Arabidopsis thaliana: one gene and its partners. The protein of the gene in region 1 interacts with the protein of each later gene in a pairwise test. Each region holds a gene or a part of one and is shown in the gene's direction. Other genes may lie near its edges.

Region 1 (8,055 bases):
TTAAAGAAAGTAGATGTTAGTTTGGATTTATAGAAAAATGTTTAGGATTTATATTTGACATTTAAACAAATTATATGTTAATTTGGATTTATTAAAATTAGGTTTAGATTTTACAATTAAATAAAATTATATCTTGGTTTAAGTTTATGAAAGAATGATTAGGATTTAGAATTTATAATTAAATATATATGTCGGCTTGGGTTTGTAGAGATTTTGTTTCTATAATTTGTTTTATTTTATTTTTATTTTAGTTTTGATTTATTTTAAATATAGTATGATATGTCATATTGTTTATTATTATTATTTAATTAAAAAGGGGTAAATAAAAGAGGTTCACCTCTAGGAGTGAACCCAATATATAAATTTTTTTCTGTCCAAATGTCAGTCTATTATATCCAAAAGATTTTAAATATTTGTTTATCAATATTACAAATTATCACATGATCTTTTTCATGTTTTGTTTTTATTCATACATATCCAAGAGACTTTAAATATTTGTTTATCAATATTACAAATTATCACATAATATATTCGTGTTTTGCTTTTATTCATATGATTCCAAAAATCACTTATTAAAAGCTATTCATTTTAAAATTGTTCCAACCTAAAAATCTTTATTTTTAAAGTCTTTTCAGAATATTAGACCAAAAATATAAATACATTTTAATAATATATATGACCAAATTAATTATTTAAAACTCTTCCAGATGCATCATTATATTTTAAAAATCGAGATGTTACATATGTGTTAAACTTTCTTTTTTGTCTTCTTATGTGATATCAAATTTTATGATCTTATCGATTTTAATCAGGTATATCTTGGTATAGCCTTAGATTTCATAATCGCATATAAAAATCATAAATTATGTAGAAACTAGTTATAATCAAATAATATTTATTTCATATGGTATACCAAAATTAAGTATTCAATTGCTACGTGGATATTAATAATTTGAATTCGGTAACATACTCTTTTTCTTTTTGTTAAACCAAAGAATCTCAAACAAAAGTTTTTGATCATAGTTACTAAATCATTTTTGGTGAATAACCGAGAGAATGTCTCCCGACTTCTATTAAAAAACAAAAATAACAATTACACAATCACTCGTCTTGAACAAACAGGTCTAGAAACATCATCCCGTAAGATTTCATCCGCACACCGGAGAACATAAACAAGAGCATAAAAGCTTAAAGACAAGCATAGTTTGTTAACATGTCCGTAAAATGATTAGCCTCTCTATATGTGAAACACGGTCAATCTAGTTTTTCGATAAAAAACTATAGCGCAAACGTACTGGAAATGATAGCAGATGAGAGTCCCATAACCTTGTCTTCAAAATCTCAACCACCATTTACCACAAATATGGGGATGAAAACAGGCAAACGGTCTCATACGTTGTAAATAAGCATTCTTAATGTCAAGTTGGTAGATAGGCCATAAAATAAGCATCCTTATGTTTAGCGCATAGCCTCCACACCATTCACCCTCCTCATTACGTATCAGACCACCACCAGCCGCGAGTCTCGAATTGCCATAAAATACCCCATCAGTATTTAATTTAAACCAGCCCATAGACGAGATAAGCCATTTTATCAGCTTCTCAACCCGACCAGCCCTTTGTGTTGCCTTTCCGCTACTAGCTCTCGCCTCCAATACCTCCTTAGCTAACTCTCTTATGAACCGCACCCTATTCTTCCATACTTTATTCTCCCCAAAAACTAGCTAATTGAATTACCAACATTTGATCAAGATAATATACTAGGTAGCTAATTAATGAGCTCATTTTTTTTTGTCGTCAATGGGCTAATTTATTAATTACAGTATGAACTATTGACTATTATTCTAAATAAGTGAATATCACGAGTATGTACGAATTATTGGATGTATCTATTTGTATTGATTGATGTAATATCAAATAGTATGAATTTGGAGTAAACGTGGGTTTGGGGTTGAAGCAGGTAGGGCATGTCAAAGTAGGGCGTCTTTCGTTATGTCCCTTTCCTCTAAATTTGAACCTCTGTCATTGTACAGAAAAATCGTAATAACCCATAAATGTGTTTTAAAAAACATTATTTCGAGTTTTCTACACATATTCTAGTCATGTTTAATTTGAATCTTTTCTTATTTAAGTAAGCTTTAGACATTTTTAACCTAAGTTTTCTTCTCCCTTCATAAATTTTGAGATCTATATAATGTTCTTACATTTTGGATCAAGATCTTCATATTCTCATTCCAATTAGTAAAAGATTTTTTCACCTTTTAATCTCTTATCTTTTATTTATATTCTTTAGTTATGTTTATGCTTTTCATCATATTTAGTGGTTAGTTTTTATTATTTATTTATTGATTCATGACTTATGCTAGATTATGATAAGAATTTATGTTACCACTTGATAAATCCTCCATTTGACATGTGTTTAATGCTAGATTTATATTGTCTCCAAATTTACAACTTCGATGTCTTATGATAAATGCCAACAACCAAATTTCAGATAAAGATTAGCAGACTAACTAAGCTTATTATTCACTTGCAAGGTGGAGTGATGTTGAAAGAACCCTCACAGACACGTCATTGGGAAGACTAAATCTCTTTTTAGCACGTTACACCTTTGAGATCGCGTTTATTCCATATGGAGAGAGAGCAACAATACGAGACATGGAGAGGCACCATTACCGCCGGCGCAACTGCTTCCAAATATTGACAAACAAATTTGAATCTGGATCTTCTCTATTCGTGAACAAGGAGATAGAAGCTACGATGAATGCATGGAAGCTTGGTTTGCTTTAATATAAACACTAAAGGGGAGTAGAACTTTCTTGAAAAATTGTATGCAAATTATTTACCGAATGTTAAAAGCTTTTTTCGAATAAATTTTACATTTTCTTAATAATAATAATAAAAAAGGATTGTTGATTATCTTAATCACAAACAATTTATTTTAGCTGAATTAGACAATTGTTAGTAAAATGATTAGAGTGTCACATATTAATGTTGTTAGTGTTTCATGTCATCCTAGTGATCCAATAATTAGGCCATTCTATAGCTCTTAACGTTAAAATAAAAGGCCCATTATCTGAATATACAGAAGCCCATTATCAATAGATACATTAAAAGATACTGATTAATCCAGAGGGTTTATATCTACGCCGTCTCCATTGATTATTTCTCCGTCTCTTGAAAAATCCGACTGACACTGACCTCAAAACTCTCCTCTCACTTTCGTCGTGAAGAAGCCAAATCTCGAATCGAATCAGCACCACACATTTCCATGGATAATTCAGCTCCAGATTCGTTATCCAGATCGGAAACCGCCGTCACATACGACTCACCATATCCACTCTACGCCATGGCTTTCTCTTCTCTCCGCTCATCCTCCGGTCACAGAATCGCCGTCGGAAGCTTCCTCGAAGATTACAACAACCGCATCGACATTCTCTCTTTCGATTCCGATTCAATGACCGTTAAGCCTCTCCCGAATCTCTCCTTCGAGCATCCTTATCCTCCAACAAAGCTAATGTTCAGTCCTCCTTCTCTCCGTCGTCCTTCCTCCGGAGATCTCCTCGCTTCCTCCGGCGATTTCCTCCGTCTTTGGGAAATTAACGAAGATTCATCAACCGTCGAGCCAATCTCGGTTCTCAACAACAGCAAAACGAGCGAGTTTTGTGCGCCGTTGACTTCCTTCGATTGGAACGATGTAGAGCCGAAACGTCTCGGAACTTGTAGTATTGATACGACGTGTACGATTTGGGATATTGAGAAGTCTGTTGTTGAGACTCAGCTTATAGCTCATGATAAAGAGGTTCATGACATTGCTTGGGGAGAAGCTAGGGTTTTCGCATCAGTCTCTGCTGATGGATCCGTTAGGATCTTTGATTTACGTGATAAGGAACATTCTACAATCATTTACGAGAGTCCTCAGCCTGATACGCCTTTGTTAAGACTTGCTTGGAACAAACAAGATCTTAGATATATGGCTACGATTTTGATGGATTCTAATAAGGTTGTGATTCTCGATATTCGTTCGCCGACTATGCCTGTTGCTGAGCTTGAAAGACATCAGGCTAGTGTGAATGCTATAGCTTGGGCGCCTCAGAGCTGTAAACATATTTGTTCTGGTGGTGATGATACACAGGCTCTTATTTGGGAGCTTCCTACTGTTGCTGGACCCAATGGGATTGATCCGATGTCGGTTTATTCGGCTGGTTCGGAGATTAATCAGTTGCAGTGGTCTTCTTCGCAGCCTGATTGGATTGGTATTGCTTTTGCTAACAAAATGCAGCTCCTTAGAGTTTGAGGTGAGAGTTTCTGTTTCGCTACATAATTCTCATTTGCTAGGCCTAGATTCTAATGAGGAAGCATTGATTATTGGTTTAGATTGTGTTGCATTACAGATAGTCTTCTAGGTTTGGTAACTAAACGTTTTTTCGATTCTTGATAACAAAGCCACTAGAGATTTGACACTAACTCGTTTTAGATTTACCTGAATCAATATCTCTGTTAAAATCAATTACTTTGTTATGCATACATAAATCACAGTTTAGTAGTCATATATATTGGCTCTTATTAGCGACAGGTCTCACACTTGCTGTAATGGCTGATAGTGTAGTAGTCATATGTTGGCTTTCATCTAAGTTGATGTATCATATGATGAATAGTTGTACACTCGTCAGGTTCTAATTTTTACCCATAATTCTTCAGTCTATTTTTTTTTGAGACAATCTATTCTTAATTTAACGAAGCCACTAGCTACGTATACAAATATTGTTAATTTAACGAAGTATCTGAGAATTGTTTACTGCTGACTGTGCTGTATGCCCTCAGAAACATATAGAAGTGGAATTGGAAACTTCATGCTGGTTTGAACATCTTTGTATGTGTGCTTCAGGTTTTTGTAACTCATTTAGACAACAGCATTGCATATATACACGCACATATGCAACCTAGAAAATCAAATAACCTTTCCTTATAATTACTATACATTTCACTTGATGTCAGGTGCAGATGTGAAGTGATCAATAAGGATTTTAGCATAGACCCGTATAATCGTCATGTGCGTAAGTAGGTTTGGTTTGCGCTCCCTCTCGCTTTTAGGTCCGCAATGACTCTGTATCTATCTGATTGTAACTAAAACTGAATTCATTTGATGAACCAAATGATACTATTATCTTATGTTGTGTATAAAACCCAACCAGGATATATTGCGGTTTCTGGTGTTTAGATTTGGTAATTGGAGCTTAGTACAATGCAACCCTGTCTTGCTTTATTGGACGTCTCTAAGATAAATCAGCTTGCAATGAATTCCAATGGAGTTTGTCAGTTTGAATTAACTTCTTTGCATAATTAACACAAAGATTTGCAGTATAAATTCCATTGGAAGACTTATTTGTTTATTTGACACAGATTTAAATTGAATTTCAATGGAGTTTCAGTCGACTATGTGACACAAAGATTTGAAATGAACTCCAATGGGAATTTGGTGAGTAAATTATTATAAACAATCCAATGTTTGACACAAATATTTTAGAATCTTCACATCTGAAGTCTTATAAATCGTAGCAAAATTTTCAATCTTGAAAATTATAAAAAATGAGAATTAATTTAAATCACTGATCCGATAATCTCCTCTAGAAATATAAGAATCTATAAACCATTAATAGTAGAATTCCAAAATGTTATAAATCTATATACTATAAATGAAAATTTTACTTTTTAACTTTTGTCTCCATAATATCATACCATACTTAAAATTTTATTTATTTTATTCTAATAATCACAATGTGTTTCTTTGTATATAAATAGAGTTTTTCTAATGGTTTGAGAAGTGATTTGGAAAACATGGATACTCATATTTTTTTCAATTTATAAGATGATCAAAATAGAAAATTTAGCTTATGAAATCTTTTAGATTTAGGAACAAATGTATACTCTAAAATGTAACTATTTGACATGTGTCAAAATGTTTTTAAATTTGTTGTGATCTTGTTACAATTAAGATCAAGCTACTTGTCAGATTTTATGTGATGGGTTAAATTTTACAAAATTCTAGCCCAAATATAAAATACCTACGTCCTCAAAACTTAAAATGCAAGCGATAATAATACAACTTAGAGTACAAAGAGGTTAAAGGTAGATAGAATGTCGACCAGTGAGCTCGCCTGCACTTATGCTGCTCTCATCCTCCACGATGATGGAATCGAGATCACCGTTAGTTTTCTTCTCTTCTCTCTTTCTTCAAATTTGTTTTCTAGCTATTGAGACACTGTTTAGCCTATGTTTTAGTCTCTAGAATCGTCATCTCTCTTTTCTTGCCTTGTGGTTTCAAACTGATCTCACTTAAGTGTTGTAATAATGTAAAATTATTAGGCTGAGAACATATCAAAACTGGTGAAAACAGCCAACGTGAATGTCGAGTCATACTGGCCTAGCCTCTTTGCTAAGCTATGTGAGAAGAAGAACATCGACGATCTCATCATGAATGTAGGAGCCGGTGGTTGTGGTGTGGCTCGTCCAGTTACCACTGCTGCTCCTACCGCTTCTCAATCAGTCTCTATTCCCGAGGAGAAGAAGAATGAGATGGTATTTATTATCACATTATTAATTACAACAAACTACTAAATCAAATACTAAATGGTATAATTGTTTTATAATCTTAGGAGGTGATCAAAGAAGAGAGTGAAGATGACATGATAATCGGATTATTTGACTAGAAGAGCTTCTTTTTCTTTGCTTCCAAATTTTATGAATTTTGCCTCATATGAATATTTTGATTATTTACAATTTATTTGATTGTTTATGAGAGACAACAAAAATAAATCAAATCTATTATTGGCTATTGTTTAATAAATATATACAACAACAAAAATATGGGGGAATTTCTTTTTCAATGTTTTTTTTTTTTTTGTCATCCGAAAATTAATTAGGACTCAAACGAGCCAATCCTGAGGAATGTTGTTTACAAATATAATATGAAGCGGTTGGGTACGAACTTTTCGTGCCAAAAAATCCGCTTTAACATTAGTACTACGAGAGATTAAAGATAGAGAAAAATCCGCTTTTCAATGTTTTTTGGTTTTAGTATTTTTGGATTTATAAAAACAAAACCATATGAAGACGTATTTATTGTTACCAAAAAAAAAAATGATAATAAGAAGACGACGCGTAGTTGAACTCAGGATTTTCATTTGTAGTTTTCCTGTAATCCAAACGGCGCACTGTTTTTAAATTCACAGCAGAGAGAAAAAAAACAAAACAAAGACGAGCCAAGATTTGTATCTTCGTCGTCTCCGATGCTAAGCTCCATCATCGACGACAAACCTGCCTCCTCCACTTGGCTCAACCGCCTCCGATTAAACAGAGGCCTCACAACCGACGATGACGATGCTTCTGGCAATCCACTTACTCTCGACGACTTTCTCCGCCGCAACCACCACACGGAAATCGCCGCCACTAGTTCCGCTTCCGATTCACCTCCATCTGCTCCAATTCCTTCAGATCCAGAATTAGCTGAAAGTCCATCGGAGGAGCCAGTTCCTGGAGAATGGTACGGCGTGATGAGCGATGTTCTCTTCGAGCTATTCAATTTCAGCGGCTCCTCTAAATCTTCCACAATTCCCGGGAAGAAGAAGTTACCAAGGAAACAATCAAACCCTAGGCATTGCTCTTTAGAGACTCCTGAAGACGTTGTTGTTCCGTTGGTAAATCAGAAAAGCGACGACGCTAATTGTCTCCCTAGTGTTCGTGAATTCGCTACTTCATCGTCGCGTAGTTCATACAATAAGAAACCTCCGGCGCCGGAGATTAGGGAGAGGAGAAGAAGTGTAGTGGAAGGTGATGGTGTGGATGAGGAAGAAGAGAAAGGAGAGAAAGATCTAGTTGGGTTTTCGAGAAGTGAAGTGACCGTGATTGATACTAGCTTTAAGATTTGGAAATCTGAGAAACTTGTTTTCAGGAGGAGAAATGTTTGGAAAGTGAGAGAGAAGAAAGGTAAATCAAGAGTTGTTTCGAAGTTGAAGAAGTTGATGAAGAAGAAGAAGAAGAAAAAGAGGAAATGTGA
Region 2 (6,741 bases), 2.7 Mb from region 1:
ATATCAATGATGATCAATATGTACTAGTGATCAATATCATATGTTTTTGTGTTCCAACCACTTGTTTCATTCAATAGTACTTGTACCATATTGCGCCAATTGTCCCAAATGGTTTGACCACTTGTACAACTCAAAATCCAAAAAGATAAGAAAATATGAAGATAATCATGAATGAGACATAATTAATACGGTTGGTCCATGAATAGGATCACCGGTCTGGCTTTTTTGTACACCACATATCTTTTCAATCTCTTTTGTTAGATAGAACCATTCACACTGATTTTCACAAAGTCAGAGAGAGACCTTTATCTCAAAAGAATATCTGCTTCTTCATTTATTTTGTTATCCCGTTTGGCTATAAAGCGGCAAAAACATGTTGGCGAGAAATATGAACCACATAACATACGTAGAAGCTTATAGAAAGGGATTATCTATCCAAACTATATATGTAGACCCACCCATCAATTCTTTTTCTCTTCACTAAAATAATTGATTCGTAAAATCTCTTATCTTTTTCCTACTCATGCCAAAGTCACATTTCGAATGAATTTGTACTAACATGGCTACATGTGAAATTTTGCAATTCTAATTAGGTTGAATTGGCCAACAGATTTGAGTTATAGGAAAACAATAGTATTTTGTGGTTATTTAAAAATGATCAACACTTTCAAAAATATTACAACCGTGATATATATTTGTTTAATTTCTTCTATTTTATTTATTTATTTATTTATTTGAATGTTCTCAATCCAAAAAAATAGGTTACATCGATATCACAATATTTGTATACTTATCTTAATGTAAATCTATTTGCAATACATGATTAATATAACATGTCTTGTAAATGTCTACAACATTGAAGTTACATTTGAGAATGAATGAATAACATGTGTTTACAAAATTGAAATTACATAGACAGCTTCATTTAAAAACAAAAATCTTATTTATAATAAACCAAATCTTTTTGTTTCTTCTCAAATAATAAGAAAACATTTTGGCAAAAAAAAACTATATATAATTACATGTATATAATTGAGATTATATAAACTTTGGCTTAAAAATAAATGGATGGTGGTGAAGAAAAGGGAAAATATCACAATGGTTGTCACGTGTCACTTCACACAATCCAGTAGACCAGTACCTAACATCCAGCACCACCAAGCCTAACCATAAACTCCTCAAATGACCTAAAAGGTTTTTTTAACACTTCGTTTCGACACCTGAATTGTTATCTGTTATTTTATCTTTTTCACGTCTTACGCCTCCTAAATCCTAATCGCTTAAATATTTTTTGAACATGTTCTCATCTGTTTTTAAAAAATTTGGATTTTCTTTTCACTAATGATTGTTACATTAGATAAATGTGATTTCCACTACAGGTTTGGATTTTATTGCATTAGAAAATATGGTAATAACAAATATTTTTATAAGAGATGACAAAAACAAATACTCTAAGTAGACAACAGCCACACACCAACCACTTTCTGATATTTGAAACCCTAAGTAAAGAACGAGAAGGAATTCTTGTGGCTGAGAAATTTTGTTGTATTATCAGTGAACGTGAATAAAATGAATAAGAAACAAATAAAAAGAAAACTAGTGGCTAGAACCCTCCTTCTCGTCATTCCACATGTCAAGTTTCTGTAGAACAGACGGCTAAAATAAGAATCAGTGACATGGAGAAAAGTGCACTGACATTCACTAATTATTAGTATTAGTACTATATTATAAATTAAAGTGTAATTACTTTCACTTCCACCGAGGATGACTTTTACAATTTGAGGAGTATATTAAATTATGTGCTTAACAATGATTTCAATAAAATATCTACACATTTGTGAAAATTGATGACGACCTGGACGATGGATAATCATATTAATTCGAGAAAGTTGAAACTAATTATAAATATCATAGATAGATTCGTATCTGTATATATTATATTATATGGTATGTATACGTAGACTTACGTTATGGATAGACCCCCACCATGTTTTTATATAGAGGCAGAAGATATTTAACTTATGGTTTTCGTTTTTTCGTAAAATATGAAACAAAGACAACGACAAAACGAAAAAGAACCAAAAATAGTATCTCATTCTACTTTCACTTGATTTTGGAATTTCATTTATTTAGATTGTGATTCAAAACCATTTCAACTATGTAAAATTCTGTGCAATATTTTTCCCAACTAAACATATAAGTTTGACATGAAAAAGAATATAGGAAAATTTAGAGGTCCAAATTTTATATGTATATCGGAATCATGGTAGGATACGTTATCAATTGCATTTGTATGAGGCTTGCTATTGCTAGTATAGAAGCATCATCAACAAATCTTAATATCAGTCCAAATTTGAATAACCCATTTTGTGGATCTCATTTCATAAAATAAACCATTTTAGTGTCCTGCAAAAATGTGTTTAGACAGAAATCTTTTTTAAAATCTGAATTTAGATATTATGATGGTTATAATTTATATATAAATTTACTATCAAATATTGTGTTCATATATGGAAGAATGGAGAAAAAAGAGTAGAACCCCACAAAATAAAAAATGGATAGACTATGTTTTCTAAGATTGGACAAAGTGTATAATAAAATCTTCTGATCTGGTCCAAAAATAAAATGTTAAGAGTTTTCGAATTCGAATAATTTGATTTTGATTAAGATATCCACTTCGGATATGTTTTCATATGTAGCTTTTTAAAATACCCTAATAAATATTTTCATAAAGAGTTTATGTAAATAAATCAAAATATATTTTTAACTTTTTATTTATTATAGTTTTATATATTACTGTTTTAATTATTTTGAAGTATTTTTGATAGATATGGATTTGGATGGTTCCGCAAACAAATCCTATGGATCCGGATCCAAAGAACCAATCATAAATTTTGGAATATGTCCACCCATATATGGATCAATAGAGATATAGTTAAGAAAAGAAAATGAATTTATCCCGCAAATTTACATTTTTATCTCATGTAGTGGAACCAATGAAAAGCGAGTAAGCTAAGAAGTCATACTCTCGAGAGTACGCCTTTCCATATTTTCCTTTAAAAGTATCTTCTGGTGGCTCACATTTCTCCGTCCAGCAAAATCTTTTTTGTTACATAAATATTATATTTCCTGATATTTTATATTAAAAGATTATCCAATTGAAATGATGTCAAAAAAGGAAAGGAAAAGTAGGGGAATTAAATAAATACATACAGTGATAATCGAAGTACCAAATCTAACTGTTTTAAAACAAGTAGATTCATTTTAAAAAATTAAATATTTGATTTTTCAAAGAGATAAATGAATAAATCTAGTACAAATTTTGTTGCAAAAAAAGAAGATGAAGAATATGAGAAAGAGCGACACGTGGCAAAGATGGACATTGAACGTGAGCCACAAGATTTTCCATCTGTTTCTCGAGCGTTCCATGGAAAACCAATAAGAATTATTATTTTTATTTTTTAAAAATTGGGAAAAAGCGCACATAGCAGAAGCTGACGTGGCATCACCCTCCTTTTTGTCTTCCCTATTTTCTCACCCCCCTAATTCCCTTCTTCCTCCTTCACAGACCCCAAACTCTTCTCTTCTTCTTCTTTCTCTCTGTTTTCTTCTTCTTCCGCCGAATCAGAAAGCTTGTCTTTTTCTTTACTCCGGCTACCAAAACTTCTCGGAGTTTCTCTGAGAGTTTCATTTCCGACCTTCTTCTTATCCTTATTTGCGGCAAGATTTCCAGCGAGAGTTTTTTTCTCTTTTCCTTTATCGAACATAAGAAATCTCTGGTTTGCTGGAAGTTTTTTTTCCGGAAGGTGGAAGCTTAGATTGGTTCTGATTTCAGAAGCAAATCGTTTGTTGTTGCCTAAGTAAACCGAATCAATTTATGGGATCTATAGAAACAGACGGAGAACAGAGGAAATTAAGCTGATTTTTTCAAGTCTAGATTCGCGAATTTATCTTGGTGTTTCCTTTTCTGTGTTCCACACCTTTCGAGTTTTTTTTTGTTTTCCTCCGCCGAGATCTTAATCCGGGAAGTTATGGCGTCGTCTCCGTTGACTGCAAATGTTCAGGTCTGGTCTCAAAATTTGATTTTTATCCACTTTTTTTGTTTTGTTTCTGCTTTATTCAGGTCTGGTCTCAAATGAATCTATGAGTTTAAAATACTGTATACGGACATTTAAGTAATAAAGCTTAGAGTTAAAGCAAGTTCGTTGCAATTCATTTGCAGACTCTTGTTTCTTTTGAGCTATAAGTTCTCTCTAGATTTGTGTGTTGCAACTACATTCATTTGAATCCTTGAGATGGAATCGACTGTGTTGGAATTTTGTGATTAGGATATGTAAATCGAGTTTAATTAGTTGGACTTTGTGAATGAATGTTCATTGAGAAACTGAAGAAGAAAGTAAATAATCCAATGCCACTTTGTGTCATAGTCCTTAAAATGATGTTTCCTAAAGTCGTTTTGCTTGATGATGGCTTTAGGGTACCAACGCTTCTTTGAGGAATAGAGATGAAGAAACTGCAGACAAGCAGATACAATTCAATGACCAAAGTTTTGGGGGAAATGACTATGCACCCAAGGTTTGTTTCTTTTAACATCAAATGTCAAATATTGTTATGTAAAGTGAAGATCTGTGGCTCAGTTCATCTTTTCTTACTTAGGTACGGAAGCCATACACGATAACAAAAGAGAGAGAGAGATGGACAGATGAAGAGCACAAGAAGTTTGTTGAAGCCTTGAAATTATACGGGCGAGCTTGGAGACGAATAGAAGGTAAATTAATGATTTAGTAATATCTCTTGCTACTGAGTTATGGCCTTACCTGGACCCTCAAAAATATATGTTTGTTTCACTAACAGAACATGTGGGCTCAAAGACCGCAGTTCAGATTCGAAGCCATGCTCAGAAGTTTTTCTCTAAGGTTTATACACTTATTTGCTATTATATCTTTACCCTTGTTCAAAGAAAGTATCAGTCTAATCTCTGTAGCAAACCTAAGTTCTGCATAAATAAGGAATCATTATACATACATTGTTTGGAGACTTGTGTTCTGACTTGGCTTTGTTCTGTTGTATTCACACAGGTTGCTCGAGAAGCAACTGGAGGTGATGGGAGCTCAGTAGAGCCGATTGTAATACCTCCTCCTCGTCCCAAGAGAAAGCCAGCGCATCCGTACCCTCGTAAGTTTGGGAACGAGGCAGATCAAACAAGTAGATCGGTTTCTCCCTCAGAACGTGATACTCAATCTCCAACCTCTGTGTTGTCCACTGTTGGATCAGAAGCATTGTGTTCCCTTGATTCGAGTTCACCCAATCGAAGCTTGTCCCCAGTTTCTTCTGCATCACCACCAGCTGCTCTTACAACCACTGCAAATGCACCTGAAGAGCTTGAGACTCTGGTACTTGACATAAACAAAACCGAATTTATACTTAACAGCAATACCTGCTGTTAGATGCTTAATGCTTAATATTCTTGGTTTAATCAATTTGTACAGAAGCTGGAGTTGTTTCCTAGTGAGAGACTCTTAAACAGGGAGAGCTCGATCAAGGAACCAACGAAGCAAAGTCTTAAACTCTTTGGGAAGACAGTTTTGGTATCTGATTCAGGCATGTCCTCTTCTCTAACAACTTCAACATATTGTAAATCCCCAATTCAGCCATTACCACGGAAACTCTCATCATCCAAGACACTACCCATAATAAGAAACTCACAAGAAGAACTCTTGAGCTGCTGGATACAAGTCCCTCTTAAGCAAGAAGATGTGGAAAATAGATGTTTGGATTCAGGAAAGGCTGTCCAAAACGAAGGATCATCGACTGGATCAAACACTGGTTCGGTGGATGATACGGGACACACGGAAAAGACCACAGAACCCGAAACAATGCTATGTCAATGGGAGTTTAAACCAAGTGAGAGGTCTGCATTTTCTGAGCTCAGAAGAACAAACTCCGAGTCAAATTCAAGAGGATTTGGTCCATACAAGAAGAGAAAGATGGTAACAGAAGAAGAAGAGCATGAGATTCATCTCCACTTATAACACATTTTCTTACGTACCCTAAAGAAGAGACTTTAAATTTACTATTCATTCGACTTTCTAAGTTTTCATCAATGTAATTTTTGTTGTTGTTTCATTGTTTTCTCTTGAGGTGTTTGTTCTCTAGGCTAAAATTTTCTGCAAAAGTTTGTAACTGTAAAACTCGTGTACAATTTATACAGTTAAATCTAATGATTATGAGATCTTTCTTAATTGATGGTTCAACAAAAGCAAGTTTCAGGTGTCTCTCTTCAATATCTCCGATTAAATTAGGTTTGGTAAAGAGTTTGCTTTGAAATGAAGGCAAAGAAGAAAAACAGTGAGGTTACCACCAACTGAACAAGTGTGTGTTCAAAGTTCAAACCCAACAAATAACCGAACCGATTCGGAAACCAACTCTAACCTGAAATTTTGATAGAATTTGACCAGACCAAATTAGACCGGTTAACACCCTTTCACGTTAGCCACCAACAGATTAAGCAGTGTCTAACGTACGCCTTATTAATACCACATAAAGACGCAAGAGAAGATGACGTCATACAGAAACAGCGTCGTTTTGAAAGCTGAGTTTTTTTTGTGAAGCGAGCGAGCGTGAGAAGGTGTGACGGGGAAGAGAATGGCGAAGGAAGCGGTCAAGTATGTATGGGAAGGAGCAATTCCTCTGCAGATTCATCTCCACAAATCCGACGTCGCTTCTCACCCTGCTCCTCCT
Region 3 (8,315 bases), on another chromosome or scaffold:
TGCAATGCAATTACAAAGATATGAACTTGGCCACATTTTGAAACAGTAATCTGCAGGAATAGAGAGAAAGATTGAGTCTTTTCTTACCAGAACACACATGTCAGTGTAGTTGCCATGAGAAAATCTTTCAGGCAAACAGTTATAAAGAAGGTCCATCACATGCCAACTAGATGGACTAGAAGGAAGGCGAGCCATGAGCTCAGAATGAAGTTTGTGGAGATCTGTTTTCCTCAACAAATCGGGTAAACGGTGTTGAAGCGAATGAAGATCCACGACACTCGGTACTTTCGTTGCAGTGTATATAGTGAGCGCCAAAAACAGGAAAAACCCAATCAAGTGCCTGCAAATCCCAAAGAACACACACACACAAACACACTCAAGGCTCTTGAACTTTAAACAAGGATACATCAAGAAACATGATTCAACACTTACGTCCAAACATTCAAAGTCTCATTATGAATGGTAAAGATGCTGAGAAGAATCTGTTTGATCGGCCATTCGGATCGGTAATGACCAATGATGTACTCATTGTCTCTTAAATAAGCAGGCAATGAATGAAACTCCACCAATTGATACTTGACTTTCTGCCATAACCTCTTCCCTTTCACATTATGTTTCTTGTCCATTGTTTCAGATGAAGCTTGTGGCTTTAAATGTTCCTTGATCTCTGCCTCATCACCCATTTTCTCTCTACTCATAAACAAACCAAACCCATAATATCAATCATACAGATCTAAATCTAGCTCAATCTGAATCATTCCAAGAAGTTAGGAATCAAAGTTTCAATTTTGAACGTTTATGCTAAATCTTGTTTTGTTCTGGATAATGAAAGTATCGATTTTTATATGCAGATTCAGCTCATTCATTACCTAAAGCTTCAATCCATAAATGGATTTGAGAAAATTACCTGAATTTCGAAAGACAAACCCTGTAAGATTTAAGAAATTGAGAGATAAGTAATTAAGAGAATTATGAGAATTTTTCTTCGATTTCGTGAAATTAGGAGAGAAAAGGTGAGATTTTGTTACCTGGATCTTCAATGCCGACGAGACAAAATCTTCTAAGAAAGATCTCTCTCTTTCTTAAAAGTCAATCAAAATAGATCTCAAGGTTTCGTTTTTGTCGAAAACAGAGAGTTCTTGTTTTGGTATGAAATCGAAGAAAGAAGAAAAAATAGAAGACGACGATGGAAGTGGAAGCTCTGAAGCCACAAAGCTTTATGAATTTTATATATTTTTATATATTTCAAATTGGGACCACTAGTTTTGTTTTGTTTATTAGTAGGACCCTTTTATTTTTCTTTATTTTCGTTTGGGCTAAGAATTTAATAGCTAGAGTATTTATTGTACGAGGATGGAAATACATCAAACAGAGAAAATGTTTTGTCGAAAATATTAACAAATATTTCTCCTATGAAATCAAGTCTTTCTCAAAAAAAAAAAAACTTATTTGATATGGGGAATTTAAATTAAGGGAAAATTAATTTAACATACCATATGAGAGCAAAAAATAAAAAATAAAATAATTGTGCTCCATGGATTCTTCTTATTAATGATTAAAATTTTCAATTAGGTGAAAAGGAAAAATTTATGATTGTGGCACATTTATTGCATTTAATCATCTTTCAACTAAAAATGGAGATGTCTATTTATGGTTTTGTTTATTTGGTCGGATTTCTTTTTTTTTTTTGTATAGAAAATATTGACAACGAATTGAATTTCAGTTCTAGTTTATGTTTGGATTTAATTTTAAAGCAAAAACTATCTATCGTTAAGAATTTTCCGAAATAAAGATTCACATTTCAGAAGATTTTTTTGTTTTGTTTCGAGTCGGTTTTGGTTATTTTCTTACATAAAATACACAGAATAATTCGAACCATAATATTGAATTGTTATTTTGGTTCACGTACGTTTACCGTTGGAGACTTTATAGCTCTTCGTTTATGCTTGTACGGATCAATAATCATGCATACTTAAGTATTTGGAAAGAAGAAGAAAAATAAAAGATTTTATCACAACATAAATAGTAACGTGAATTGGCATAAATGAATCGCAACAAACAGGTCGCAATCACAATGATAAAAATATCTACTGGCACTACTTCATAAGGAAGGATCTTGTAAGAATATTACTTTCGTTTTATTCGGATAAGCAGAAGATATTCGTTTTTTTTCTGGCTCGTTTTTTCACCTATTCAAGTTTTATGTCAATTTGGTTACGTACTCCAAATTGTGGCACTTGTAATTTGACACTCTTTATCAAAGTTATCACTTATCTTACTTGCCAACGAAACTAGTATCAGTATTCAGAGCCATTAATACAAATCAATCAAATCTTAGAGGAAGAACTAAAATGATGTACATAAATTGATGTTTTAGTTTTGCCAATTAGCATAAATAAATACTTTTAAGAATCTTTTCACATTTTTTCTCTAATAAAAGTGAAACATACACATTAAATCTTTTCACATTTTTTCTCTAATAAAAGTGAAACATACACATTAGAATCAGTTGTTCACCATATATAAAAAGGCTCGCCAAATTAAGATCTGGACATACTTAAAATGGGATTGGGCTGGTAAATATTCTAAAAACATTCCTTAAAAAGCCCACTCTGATAAGTCCGCGACTTCGAAACTCCGATGCAGACCGAAATTGGTTCTATAGTTTGGGAGAGAATGACCAGACCGGTTCAATCAATTTTCCTTCGATGGACCCAACCGAATAACTTCCATGTGGGGACACAACTTAAGCTTGTAACGACCAGACATTCAAAGAGTTCCGTCAAATAGTAATAGAGAAAGACTAAAGAAGAAAATATGGAAAAATAAACAATAAATAATAATAGAAAAAGACTATTGAAGAAAATATGGAAAAATAAACAATAAATAATAATAGAAAAAGACTATTGAAGAAAATATGGAAAAATAAACAATAAATAAAATACCTACTTACCGTGGGTCCCACTACGGTACTACTGCCGCCTTCTCCGACCGTAATCAGCCGTCACCTGCCGGTTTAGTTACAATAACAATTTAGTATTTATTTGAATTCTTTCTCTCATCGAAGTCTAAGGAAGATGGAGCGAGGAGCTTTAGTGGGTTCTTCTTCTACTTCTAGCTACTATGTTCCTTACCACTTTCGCCAATCAAAGTCGAATTTTTCGTCATTCAAACCAAAAAATAAGCTAAACCCTACTCAATTCCGGTTTAACTGTTCATGGTTTAAGCCGGTTAGTTCTATAACGGCGGCGAAATGCAATATGTTTGACTACGCGGTGACTGCAGCCGGCGATGTGGAGGCTGAGCATCCAGTTGACGACAAACAGTTTGTGCGTTGGTTCCGTGAAGCATGGCCTTATCTTTGGGCTCACCGTGGCTGCACATTCGTCGTTATTATCTCCGGCGAGATCATCGCCGGCTCTTCTTGTGATGCCATTTTGAAGGTACCGTCTTTCTTCACCGTATTATATACTTTGATTTATGAGAAAAAAGCACGCAAGGTGTTCGATTGTTTGCTTGCCTCAACTAAAGTTGTTACTATTCTTATTTTGCTTTGTTATATGATCTTTTCTTTGCAATGTGCTTGAGTTTTCAGTTCTCGTATTTGAGTAGAAGGTGAAGTGATTTGATATATGTGCAGGACATAGCGTTTCTTCATCATCTAGGAATAAGGTTTGTTTTAGTTCCTGGAACTCAGGAGCAAATCGACCAGCTTCTGGCTGAGAGAGGTCAGAATATTATAAGCTTTGTCACGATGTTAGATTCTAGACTATAAACCTTGCTAGCGTCAAGTAAATGGTTTGGTTAGCTACGAGTCTAATGCTGTGTGAGTTGCAGGACGCGAGGCTACGTATGTGGGACGTTACAGAGTAACGGATGCAGCATCTTTGCAGGCTGCTAAAGAAGCTGCAGGAGCAATATCAGTGATGCTTGAGGCCAAATTATCTCCTGGACCTTCTATTTGCAATATCCGTAGACATGGTGATCGTAGTCGTTTACATGATATAGGTGTTAGGGTTGATACCGGTAACTTCTTTGCAGCAAAAGTGAGATTTTCCACTTTTTTTATTGTTCATACGACCTTGAGTCTTATTAATGTCGTTCATAATGACCGATGATTATCTTGGGTCTTGTTGTGGCAGAGAAGAGGTGTTGTTGATGGTGTTGATTTTGGAGCGACTGGTGAGGTAAAGAAGATAGATGTAGATCGGATTTGTGAGAGGCTTGACGGTGGTTCTGTAGTTTTGTTGAGGAACTTGGGCCACTCGAGCTCCGGAGAAGTCTTAAATTGCAAGTATGCTCGCTCTTCTCCAGAGAAAAATGCTTCTTCCATTAACCTTAGAAAGATTAAAGTTTTCTAATTCCACTTTACTTCTGCAGTACCTATGAGGTTGCTACAGCTTGTGCTTTAGCTATAGGAGCAGATAAGCTTATTTGCATAATGGACGGCCCAATTCTTGATGAGAGTGGACATCTTATTCATTTCTTGACACTTCAAGAAGCAGATATGTTAGTTCGAAAACGGGCACAACAAAGCGACATAGCTGCAAATTACGTAAAAGCCGTTGGAGATGGAAGCATGGCTTATCCCGAACCTCCTAACAACACCAATGGTAATATTACTTCTGCTCAAAACGGGAGAGCCGTTTCATTTTGGGGAAACGGAAACCACACTCCGATCTTTCAGAACGGTGTTGGATTTGACAACGGAAACGGATTGTGGCCTTGTGAGCAAGGTTTTGCTATTGGTGGTGAAGAAAGATTAAGCCGCTTAAACGGTTATCTTTCTGAATTGGCTGCTGCGGCGTTCGTCTGCAGAGTGAGTGCTTTTTAAACGTTGGTCTTGATTCTACTTGCCACCATTAAACTGAAACCGTTTGCTTTGCTTCCCTTATGAAGGGTGGAGTCAAAAGAGTTCACTTGTTGGATGGTACTATAAGTGGAGTTCTATTGTTGGAGCTTTTCAAAAGAGATGGAATGGGAACTATGGTTGCTAGGTACATTCATTCTTTTCGTCTTCACTCGCATATACTCCTGGCTTTTTCGTGTTCTTACAATTCTATATTGCCTGTTACGTGCAGTGATGTTTACGAAGGAACCCGTGATGCCAGAGTGGAAGATCTAGCAGGAATTAGACATATAATCAAACCCTTGGAGGAATCAGGGATTTTAGTTCGCAGAACTGATGAGGAGGTAACAACCCTTACTATCTTCAACATCTCATTGTTTCATCGGTTTAAAAACACTGCTAAAGGGTTTGATCTTTAAATGCAGTTACTGCGAGCTTTGGATTCATTTGTGGTTGTGGAAAGGGAAGGACAGATCATCGCTTGTGCGGCTTTGTTTCCGTTCTTCAAAGACAAATGCGGAGAAGTTGCTGCAATCGCGGTTGCATCAGATTGTCGCGGTCAAGGCCAAGGCGATAAATTGCTCGGTGAATAAACTCAAACCCTTTCTGTTACATTTGCAAAGCAAAGCCAGAGAACCTCAATGCAACAACACAATCTATTTCTGCAGATTACATAGAGAAGAAAGCTTCATCTCTCGGGTTAGAGAAGCTGTTCCTACTCACAACGCGAACAGCGGATTGGTTTGTGAGACGAGGGTTCCAAGAATGCTCAATAGAGATCATACCAGAGAGTAGAAGACAAAGAATCAATCTTTCAAGAAATTCAAAGTATTACATGAAGAAGCTAATCCCTGATAGAAGTGGCATTTCAGTTATGAGAATCTAAGCAAGAAGATGACACACATTAAGCAAACACACAGAACCATATTGTAAAATCAATATTCATAATTCTCAAAAGCTTTCAACATTGTTTGATTTCGAAAAATTCAAAATACTTATTTTGATCTCAATCTCAGTTTCATTCCAAAGCTACAATAGCACCAACCGCTTTGAGTTTCTCCATGATCTTCTCAGCTTCTTCTTTAGTAAGACCATTCTTCACAATCACTGGGGCTTTCTCAACCAAAGCCTTAGCTTCTTTCAATCCCAGATCCGTGAATGCTCTGATCTCTTTTATCACTTTAATCTTCGAAGCCGCTTCGAATTTCTCAAGCTTCACATCGAAAGTAGTCTTCTCCGCCGTTTTCGTCTCCGTAGAAGCTGACGCGTCGCCGACAGATCCGGTAACAGCTACGGCGGAACCGTAGCGATTGAGACCTATTTTATGGCTGAAGAGGAGTGAGTAATCGTAAAGCTCAATCCGATTCAGTTTGAGTAAATCGTCGGCGATTCGCTCGAGTTTCTTCGTTCGAGCTTCGGGAGAAGCGACGGCGCATAGGTGACGAGTAGCGGAGGATAGCGGCGTCGTACGGTGGAGGTAACCGAGAGATCTCGAGAAAATTCCGGAGATCGGAGCTCGCATTTTCGCCGGTGAATGGAGGTTTTTGTTAGGGTTTTCGCCGTCCGTTCAATTTCATTTCATTTTGCCGGTACTTTTTGCTCGTCAAATAAAATGGGCTGTCTAAGGCCCACATAATAAGGCCCATAACGAAAACAACTAGTATGCACCCAAATCAAACCCAACCAAACTAAAAGGATGAAAAAAGTAAATATATATATATGTTAAAAAAAATTGAATATTTGTTTTTTCTTTGGGAACATAAAGACTACTTAAGCTAATGAAATCAAGTTTTTCTGTTTGAACTCATAATTAAATAAATTAACCTAAACTTCATAGGATTAATATAGACATTCCCTATGATTATGAATATAGGCATTTTATAGTTAGATGAGTGTAATGGTCAAGTCGTGGTACAAGGGGACCCAACAAGGTTTTGATTCTAGTTAAAGCAAAATTGGGCCAAGCAATAGACTTTTATTTCGCTAATTTGCTTTTTGCATGACTTTATAAACAAGAAAACAGACCAAAAGAAGATAAATTGTTATAAAAAGATTAGCTTAAAAAGCGAAGCTAAAAAGATCGTACCGATATTAACATGGGGGAGGCAAAAGCCTTCATCAAAAGATGCAGGGAGAGAGGAGTTGTAGTGAAACCAGCCACATATCTCAAAAGCAGTTCCCACTACTTTTTTCATATTTATAATTCAAAAAAACAATACTATATAAACGTTAGTATCAATGGATTTAACTATTTATTTCAATTATTTACTTTTTATGGGCTGTTTTCTAAATAAAAACATGATGGGTAAGCGGGGCCATGAACATTCGTAGGTATATGCATGTGTAATCCATTGAAGACATAATAACATTATATATGTATGAATCAAATAAAAGACTGGTCCCTTTATCTCTTTTATAAAGCAAAAGGTGAAAGAGCCATTATTAAAAAGGCAATATATATTAATGGTTTATACTTCTCAAGAACGACAAATGAATAAGTATAATGTTGTGAAATTAATCTTCTTGTATAAAACATTGTTTTTTTGTCTTTGTTTCTTGTAACAAAGGCCGTTACCAATAAGTGAATATTGCAATTAGATAGCATCGCCAAATTCAATCGGTTAGTTGGCTCATATTAGTGATCCATGTTTAGCCTAATAATATTGTACTAAAACACAGATGATGCATGCAGTTGAGAAAGTATTTTTGAGGTCTAATCGTATATTCCAGTGTTTTGAGTTTGATAATGTATAAATGTAAAATAAGCCTTTCTTGTGTGAGAGTCTGTTCACCTCTAATATTAATCGCTCACTAGGATCATATATATGTAAACATACCTTAATAAGATCGATTATGAATGATCAAAAGCATGACAATATACATTTCAGAAGCGTGCAAGCCACTAGAGGTGCATTCACGAGATTCCAACTAAGAGATTCCCTAACCAAAGTAGCTGTCTTAAGATTCTATTTATATATATTCACGAACCGAGAAGAAGTGAAGTAGTGAACATGCTTTTATTAGAAACATGGAATATTATATCTAACAAAAAAAACATGGAATAATTATAGAACTTAATCAGTATTAGTTGTTGTTGAATTTGATATTTATTGCTAGTCTTATTCATTTATACTATATTTTTCCACCATTATAATTCCAGTAGTTCAATGATCCTCCAATGTAACAGTAACTAATTTACATATAAAGCTCACGTATCTAGAAAGAAACTCACTTACTAGTTTTGAGCTTTTCGTGTAACATAGAACCATACATTCATTATAGAGGAAAATAAACCCTATTATTTCGGATAAACAAAAGTAATCACAAATTTCATTCCAAAATGGATTTTTAAAATTAATAAATACCAAAGACAAAACAAAAAATCACGAATTGTATGAACCTTGATACCCACCTCAATGATCAGAATTACTTAATTAGTCCTATTCCAAAATCCAAATTCATATTA
Region 4 (7,128 bases), about 18 Mb from region 1:
GTCGTGAGTGCTCTGTATCCGTACGATTCGACACCGTTTAGCTCCTCAGCGAGCGATCGATGGAGTTTAAAGCTCGCGCGTGCTAAATGCGCAACAGGACTTCCATCGCACCAATCGAAAGCGAGAAATCCACCGGCTTTACCGGAAGCAGCGCACGCGACGGCTGATTTCTCGACGAGAGTGACGGCGATTCCTTTCTTGGCGAGGAAATAAGCAGTACAGACGCCGATTACTCCACCGCCGCATACAAAGACCCGCTTCGAGGTTTCTTCACCGATTTGTTTTTTAGCCGCCATTGATTTCGATGAGTTGGAGCAGATCGTGATTGTTCGTCGGGTTAACACCGGAGGGAATAATAACGATGAGATCACCGCCATCACCGAGATGAGATAGATGATGACTCACCGAGTCCACACGTTAGTTAGAAATTATTTATTGGGCTTAGTTTCTTTTTGGGCTGATCTTTTGAAGCCCATTTATTGTATAATCTCTACGCTATTGTGTGTTACTGTGTTTCCTATGATATTTAGTAGCTGATAAGTGATAACTGATATTCTCTGTATGAATTTCAATGAATAGTTTTCTGATTCTAGATGTTTTAAGAAGTTGAAAAGGACTTGTTGAAATAAATTATGGGGGAAAAGGACAAATGACCAACTAACAATCAGATAGGCCATTCCAAAATTGGGCTCCACCACTTTGACGACAAAAGCCCATTTATAGGGCGGCTCTACTTCGGCCTTTCATCAACCACACATACACTCCTAATGATTATTATTCAATATATTTTTAGTAGGTACTGTGATGTTGTTAACTTTCAGTTAGATAGACCCGCCGAAACTTTTTCTTATAATATTACATATAATTTCGCTCTGTTTATAATCATTTTATTCCTCTACTTAAACAGAAGCTTCTTTCATTCTTTGTGTTCATTGAACTTGTTTACTATACGGAAAGTTTCTGCAATTCTATAAAAATATATATAAAATAATGAACTGTTTATAGAATTGTACTTACTTTTTTGGTTTTAGTGAAGCAAATTTCTATTTAATCACACATTTACTGCACTCTAAAAAGGTGAAAACCTAAAATGTAATCGTTCACACATTATCTTCATGTTCAAATCCGATGGAATATTTATCGATCCAAGAGTTTCAATTAATAATTTGCAACATAATCTTCTTATGCCTTTCTTATTTAGCAAGTGTGATGGTCGATCCATTGATCATTGTTCATGAAAGTTGATGATGTGGTCGATATTTTCTCCACATGAGAAGTATTGTTTTGAAAAGAATATTTATCATATACTACTATTATTGACAGAAAAAACAGTGTAGAGAGTATTGTTAATATTAATTAAGTCAAAAAAAGCCGGCGGCCAATGTGGGGAAAAAGCTTCACACACTTTCATGTAGTAATCTGTCCTTTTGTTTCTAGCTTTATATTGCCCTCGCTTTTGCCCGTTCATGACTCTTATGATGCTTGGTCGTAAAACGTGATTCCATGCATTATCTTATAGAGTTATAGTATATAGATATTATCAAAATGATCAAGTTTTTAATATCCCAATTCTACATTTGAAATTTTTTAACATTTGATTTACAAAGTTGACGATAAATTTCAGATTTGAAGACGAAATAAAGCAAATCTTTAAATAAGTTTTTTTGGAAATATCATATGATATCAGAATTCTAAAAAATCCAACAAATCGGTAAGTTCTAACATATAAGATGAAATAGTACTTGGTAGGTACAAAAATTAAACGTTTTGATTCCACACATACAAAAAGAAGAAGAAAAGAGTAACTTTTTATTTGTCGTCCAACAAAGAATCGCTTTTCAATCAAGCTTTAGTGAAGGTGTTAGGTGTGTGTGGCTTAAGCATATACATCAGAAGACCAACAAAATTTATCTTAAGCACGAAGGTCACCGAACGTAGTCGTTTCAACGATGACCGTACCATTAATGCAGATTTGTAGTGCGTGTGGATATATACATGCACACGTGTGGAAGGTGAAGGTACAAAATGTGCATACGGCTTAAGGATAAGCGAGAACACGGAAGGATATTTTGTAGCAGCATCTTTCTATTCTATGCAACTAAGTAAACGAACCACATGCACCTGTTTTCTTTAATTTATTGCCTTTGTGATTTTTTTTGTTGACACCATTATGTTTTTTTTTTGTTTGTAAACCATATAATTAAGTAGTTTCCCTAAACCGTTAACAATTAATACATTCTATAATGTCGAATAAAAAGAAAAGGTAATGCAAGTGGAAGAATATCTAAACACGTTAGTAGACCAATAGCAAAATTACAGTTGCTAGCTTACACGACAGGAGGAACAAGACAAGAGTAGTTTTGCCTTTGTTAAGAATAATTAGCATGACACGTCACTCAAACTTACACGTGGAAGGATAATTCATGGACACGTGGACATACTGGAAAACAGCTGTTAAATCTTTGTCCGGTTATCGTAAGTTTTTGAATTTTAAAACTGTATTTAGCCGAATTAGGTCATGTTCCACGTGCCTTTTTTTCTGCACCACTATCTCTTTTCCACAAGAGGGGCAATGATTTTTTGGTCCAAAAATATACAGTTGTAATCTTGGACGGTGTGTCTTAAATAAAATAATATATGGACGGTGTTTTCTTTAATGTTTTCTATGTTCATATGAACTTCTCGGTGGTCGTTTCAATCACAAAATTTATCATACCAGAAAACAAAATATTTTCAATAATTGAGGCTGTACGTTGTGTATTTTAGGTTTTTTCTTTAGATTGTTGCATGTTATATTTTCAGTTTACTATATGTTGTGATGATTATTCGTTACAAATGTTTTCAAAATGTCATACTATAGTAGTCATTTATAATAGATATGAAAAATGATCACAGTTGATTTGTTTTTTTGGTGGACTACGAATAAAATCGTTTTGGTAATTGTCTAATCTTCGAGTGAGTAAGACACCGTCAATCAACCATCAATATCATCAATCAAAACCATTATTGATCTATTTTTTGGTTTAAGGAAAAGTTGGTAATTGTAAAACGACTTCAATAAAATATTTAAAACAAGGAGACCAAAACCGACACTCGGACCATTGATAATAGAAACAACGAGCAAGGTTATAGTAGTATAGTTGAGTCTCACAAACGAACACGTAAACCCAATATAATAACTACGCAAGGTTACATCTAGAGCTTATTGTTCCCATCACAATAACCTCTTGGCATTATTAATTATCAAATTCACTCAAAGTATTAAACTCCTGATGTCTAATAGATTATCAACAAATCGACAAAAATGTAGATATATAACTCAAAAGGTATAAATTCAAATGTTTGGTGGGGTTACGTAAAAACTTGAATTATTAAGAACTAACAATACTATAGTTTAATTAAAAGGAGAATTATGAACCGTTAGAGGGAAGGTTAGGGAGCGTGCATGAACATTACCTGACGTTTACCGACCTGATTCGTACCGTACATACCAGAACAAAGAGCTTTTAAAAACCCGCGTTTTACGACCGACACGTGGCAGTTCTTAAATGGATGACAGTTAGTGTTTTATTAATTGTTTTTGTTTGATTAACAAGTTTTATACAGCCTGGCTGTTTCTATTCGTATTTTCGATATAATAATTAAATATATTTCAGGAAACAAAGGCAGTGATGATTTTGCGTTCCAATTCGGCAACCTATGTTGTCGTTTTCTGCCACGTCAAAACCTCCTATCTTTTGTTAACCGCACATTTTACATCACGTTTCCTAAACCGAACATTAATATCTAACCATTTTTATACATTCACTTAATATCGCTCACACGGTTCTTTGTCAATCCCATTTTAATCCAGCTTCGTTTCAAATTATTGAGGTTTAGATCTTTTTATGATCATAGAGCAACTATATATAGATTTAGTATTGTCAATTTGTCATGCACTGTTATATGCATGAATTAGGTGTTTGTGTGTTGTTTAGTAATTAATTATACCTTCTTAGTGACAATTTGTTTTCTTTATTAGTAATGAAATTTGTGGTCAATAATTTTGATTAGTTTTCAACCCGGAAAATCGGTTATATGTAAAGTAGATATTATCATAAAGTTTTTATGTGAAGTGCTATACAGCCTGGCTTCGCTATTCTAAAGTCAAGACTAAACATAAAAATAAATAAAAACTGTCCTTACCCAAACCTAACCGTTATCATCTTTTTATTTTTTTCTTCAGATATTTCTTTTTCATTTTTATTTCCCCTATAAAAAAATTTAAATTCACCTCAAATTGTGCGAATATTATCATGGCTTTGCTAGTTGGGTTTCGTGATTTTGTCTCTTTAACTTCTTACTTTCGCCACGCGCTTAAATGGCGCGTGTACTCACAAACTCATACTTTGAGACTCGACTGATCTCCACGCTCAACTATACGAAATTGCTGATCTTGAACAAAATTATTACGAAAACGACAAAAAAGACACATCGACGTAGTCAGGCTTCGACGCGTGTCCACTTACAGCTGTACCGCAAACTTTGAAAAACCGCTTGCGTGGAAGAAGCGTTGCCCATGACTTCTCCACCGTCTTAACCGGTTTCCGGTTATCCTCCTCTCTTAAATCTCTGTATAAATAATTTTGTCCTCTCTTTAGTTTCTCGAACTTGTTTTTGGTTCATCTCTCAAAACCAAAATCACTAAAGAGGAGAAGATTGCTAAAGTTTGATAAAACATTCCAAAATCAATGGCTGATAGGATCAAAGGTCCATGGAGTCCTGAAGAAGACGAGCAGCTTCGTAGGCTTGTTGTTAAATACGGTCCAAGAAACTGGACAGTGATTAGCAAATCTATTCCCGGTAGATCGGGGAAATCGTGTCGTTTACGGTGGTGCAACCAGCTTTCGCCGCAAGTTGAGCATCGGCCGTTTTCGGCTGAGGAAGACGAGACGATCGCACGTGCTCACGCTCAGTTCGGTAATAAATGGGCGACGATTGCTCGTCTTCTCAACGGTCGTACGGACAACGCCGTGAAGAATCACTGGAACTCGACGCTCAAGAGGAAATGCGGCGGTTACGACCATCGGGGTTACGATGGTTCGGAGGATCATCGGCCGGTTAAGAGATCGGTGAGTGCGGGATCTCCACCTGTTGTTACTGGGCTTTACATGAGCCCAGGAAGCCCAACTGGATCTGATGTCAGTGATTCAAGTACTATCCCGATATTACCTTCCGTTGAGCTTTTCAAGCCTGTGCCTAGACCTGGTGCTGTTGTGCTACCGCTTCCTATCGAAACGTCGTCTTCTTCCGATGATCCACCGACTTCGTTAAGCTTGTCACTTCCTGGTGCCGACGTAAGCGAGGAGTCAAACCGTAGCCACGAGTCAACGAATATCAACAACACCACTTCGAGCCGCCACAACCACAACAATACGGTGTCGTTTATGCCGTTTAGTGGTGGGTTTAGAGGTGCGATTGAGGAAATGGGGAAGTCTTTTCCCGGTAACGGAGGCGAGTTTATGGCGGTGGTGCAAGAGATGATTAAGGCGGAAGTGAGGAGTTACATGACGGAGATGCAACGGAACAATGGTGGCGGATTCGTCGGAGGATTCATTGATAATGGCATGATTCCGATGAGTCAAATTGGAGTTGGGAGAATCGAGTAGACAAAGTGAGATTATTAGGAAACTGTTTAAATTGGAGAAGAAGAAAAATGCTCTGTTTTTTTCTCCTTTGGATTAGGCTTAAGAATTTTGGGTTTTAAGGAAATGTATAGAGGAAATCGAGTGAACAAAGCTCGAGAGCTGGGGACGTAGTGACGAAGACGAAGATCAAATTTCTCTTAAGCTATTCAGGAAAATAAAATAAATTTTTATTTATAACTACGCTTAATGATGATAATAGATCAAATTAATACACAAAGTATCACAAAGTGAAAGATAAATGATCCAGTTAAAGAACAAGTTTGTCGAGGATTGGTAAAGACTTGCATTTGGCAACTAAAGGCACAGATTTGGGCATGGTAAGACCCTTTCCTTCCGACATGTCAACGGCAACGTCATTGTCTCTCTCCCAATCGAAACACTGGATCAATGAGCCTAAAGCTAAGCTCAGTACTAGTTGGGCCAGGCCCATACCAGGACATGCTCTCCTACCGATTCCGAAAGGCAGAAACTTACCACGATGGGTCTCTGATTCAAACCTCTCTGGTTTGAAAGTTTCTGGGTCATCCCATACATTTGGGTCTCTCTGAATAGCCCACGCATTGATAAATAGCCAGGTGCGACGTGGAATGTCAAATCCAGCGACTTCACAGTCAGTGGATGAAGCGTGTGGGACAAGTAAGGGCGCCGCCGGAAACAAACGAAGAGTCTCAGAGATCACATTGTTGAGATAGGGACACTTGCCAGTATCTGATTCCTCAAACACACGCCCTTCTTTCGAAACCTCGTTTAGTTCCGTTTTGAGTTTCCTTAAAACTTCCGGATGATTTAGAAGGTTAGCCATAGCCCACTCCAACGTCACTGCGGTTGTGTCCGTTCCAGCAAGCAACATCACCTGCAATGAATCCTTTGAATCTTTGATGAATCAATCTTGATCACTCCTATTAACGATTCAAAATTATAGGAATTAAAAACTCATGTACCTGTACGAGCCCTTTGATGATATCATCAGTGTAACATTCAGGTTCTGATTCTTGAAGAGACAGCAAACGAGTGATCATCGTTTTCTCAAGCTCTGCTTTTCCTCTGTTTTTCCGATGCTCGTCGACTAATTTCTGCATAAACTTGTCCAATTTCGAAGCGAGTTTCTTTGCTCTCTTTCTGTATCCATCAAGATCAAAGAGCTTCAGAGTCGGGAGAAAATCTCCGACATAATTAACACCAGCGAAATCGAACACCTCCCTAATCAGCTTCCGAACTTCCTTAGTTTCCTCGTCTTCCTCTCGTTTTCCAGCGACCATGCTCATTAGGATGTTATACGTAAGCCCATAAAGAAACGGCTGGAGTTTCAATCTGACACTGCCTCCTGATGTTACCAGTTCCACGTTGATCTTCCGAATCATAGCTCTCACTTCGTCTCTCCGTATATCCGAAAAGTCTCTGAGACGAGCGGTGGACAAGATATCTACGGCGCAGAAACGGC

Evidence for each region.
Region 2: the proteins of TTG1 (region 1) and RVE1 interact in binary tests that used the Arabidopsis thaliana proteins (3 or more experiments, as listed by UniProt).
Region 3: the proteins of TTG1 (region 1) and NAGS2 interact in binary tests that used the Arabidopsis thaliana proteins (3 or more experiments, as listed by UniProt).
Region 4: the proteins of TTG1 (region 1) and MYBR1 interact in binary tests that used the Arabidopsis thaliana proteins (3 or more experiments, as listed by UniProt).

What each region holds. Positions count from the first base shown.
Region 1 is NC_003076.8:8,367,949-8,376,003, reverse strand, and holds TTG1 (Transducin/WD40 repeat-like superfamily protein), read left to right. Parts: upstream 1-3,156; 5' UTR 3,157-3,270; coding exon 3,271-4,296; 3' UTR 4,297-4,297; intron 4,298-4,823; exon of another isoform or gene 4,824-4,872; intron 4,873-4,997; 3' UTR 4,998-5,687; downstream 5,688-8,055. Other genes in the region: AT5G24510 (60S acidic ribosomal protein family), read left to right, coding at 6,138-6,206, 6,366-6,578, 6,656-6,709; AT5G24500 (fantom protein), read left to right, coding at 7,289-8,055.
Region 2 is NC_003076.8:5,689,726-5,696,466, reverse strand, and holds RVE1 (Homeodomain-like superfamily protein), read left to right. Parts: upstream 1-3,474; 5' UTR 3,475-3,542; coding exon of another isoform or gene 3,543-3,767; 5' UTR 3,768-4,031; coding exon 4,032-4,064; intron 4,065-4,476; coding exon 4,477-4,575; intron 4,576-4,656; coding exon 4,657-4,768; exon of another isoform or gene 4,769-4,835; coding exon of another isoform or gene 4,836-4,854; coding exon 4,855-4,916; intron 4,917-5,078; coding exon 5,079-5,393; intron 5,394-5,489; coding exon 5,490-6,032; 3' UTR 6,033-6,241; downstream 6,242-6,741. Other genes in the region: AT5G17305 (uncharacterized protein), read right to left, coding at 3,543-3,767; autophagy protein Apg5 family, read left to right, coding at 6,646-6,741. UniProt on the Arabidopsis thaliana protein: Morning-phased transcription factor integrating the circadian clock and auxin pathways. Binds to the evening element (EE) of promoters. Does not act within the central clock, but regulates free auxin levels in a time-of-day specific manner.
Region 3 is NC_003075.7:17,693,599-17,701,913, reverse strand, and holds NAGS2 (N-acetyl-l-glutamate synthase 2), read left to right. Parts: upstream 1-2,922; 5' UTR 2,923-3,077; coding exon 3,078-3,443; intron 3,444-3,640; coding exon 3,641-3,728; intron 3,729-3,837; coding exon 3,838-4,046; intron 4,047-4,142; coding exon 4,143-4,294; intron 4,295-4,380; coding exon 4,381-4,819; intron 4,820-4,899; coding exon 4,900-4,997; intron 4,998-5,081; coding exon 5,082-5,193; intron 5,194-5,274; coding exon 5,275-5,434; coding exon of another isoform or gene 5,435-5,442; exon of another isoform or gene 5,443-5,517; coding exon 5,518-5,735; 3' UTR 5,736-5,855; downstream 5,856-8,315. Other genes in the region: HHP4 (heptahelical protein 4), read right to left, coding at 88-340, 433-698; AT4G37660 (Ribosomal protein L12/ ATP-dependent Clp protease adaptor protein ClpS family protein), read right to left, coding at 5,868-6,371. UniProt on the Arabidopsis thaliana protein: N-acetylglutamate synthase involved in arginine biosynthesis.
Region 4 is NC_003076.8:26,849,379-26,856,506, forward strand, and holds MYBR1 (myb domain protein r1), read left to right. Parts: upstream 1-4,643; 5' UTR 4,644-4,730; coding exon 4,731-5,648; 3' UTR 5,649-5,934; coding exon of another isoform or gene 5,935-6,540; 3' UTR 6,541-6,628; downstream 6,629-7,128. Other genes in the region: AT5G67290 (FAD-dependent oxidoreductase family protein), read right to left, coding at 1-377; CYP81G1 (cytochrome P450, family 81, subfamily G, polypeptide 1), read right to left, coding at 5,935-6,540, 6,629-7,128. UniProt on the Arabidopsis thaliana protein: Transcription factor. Represses the expression of protein phosphatases 2C in response to abscisic acid (ABA). Confers resistance to abiotic stresses dependent of ABA. In response to auxin, activates the transcription of the auxin-responsive gene IAA19.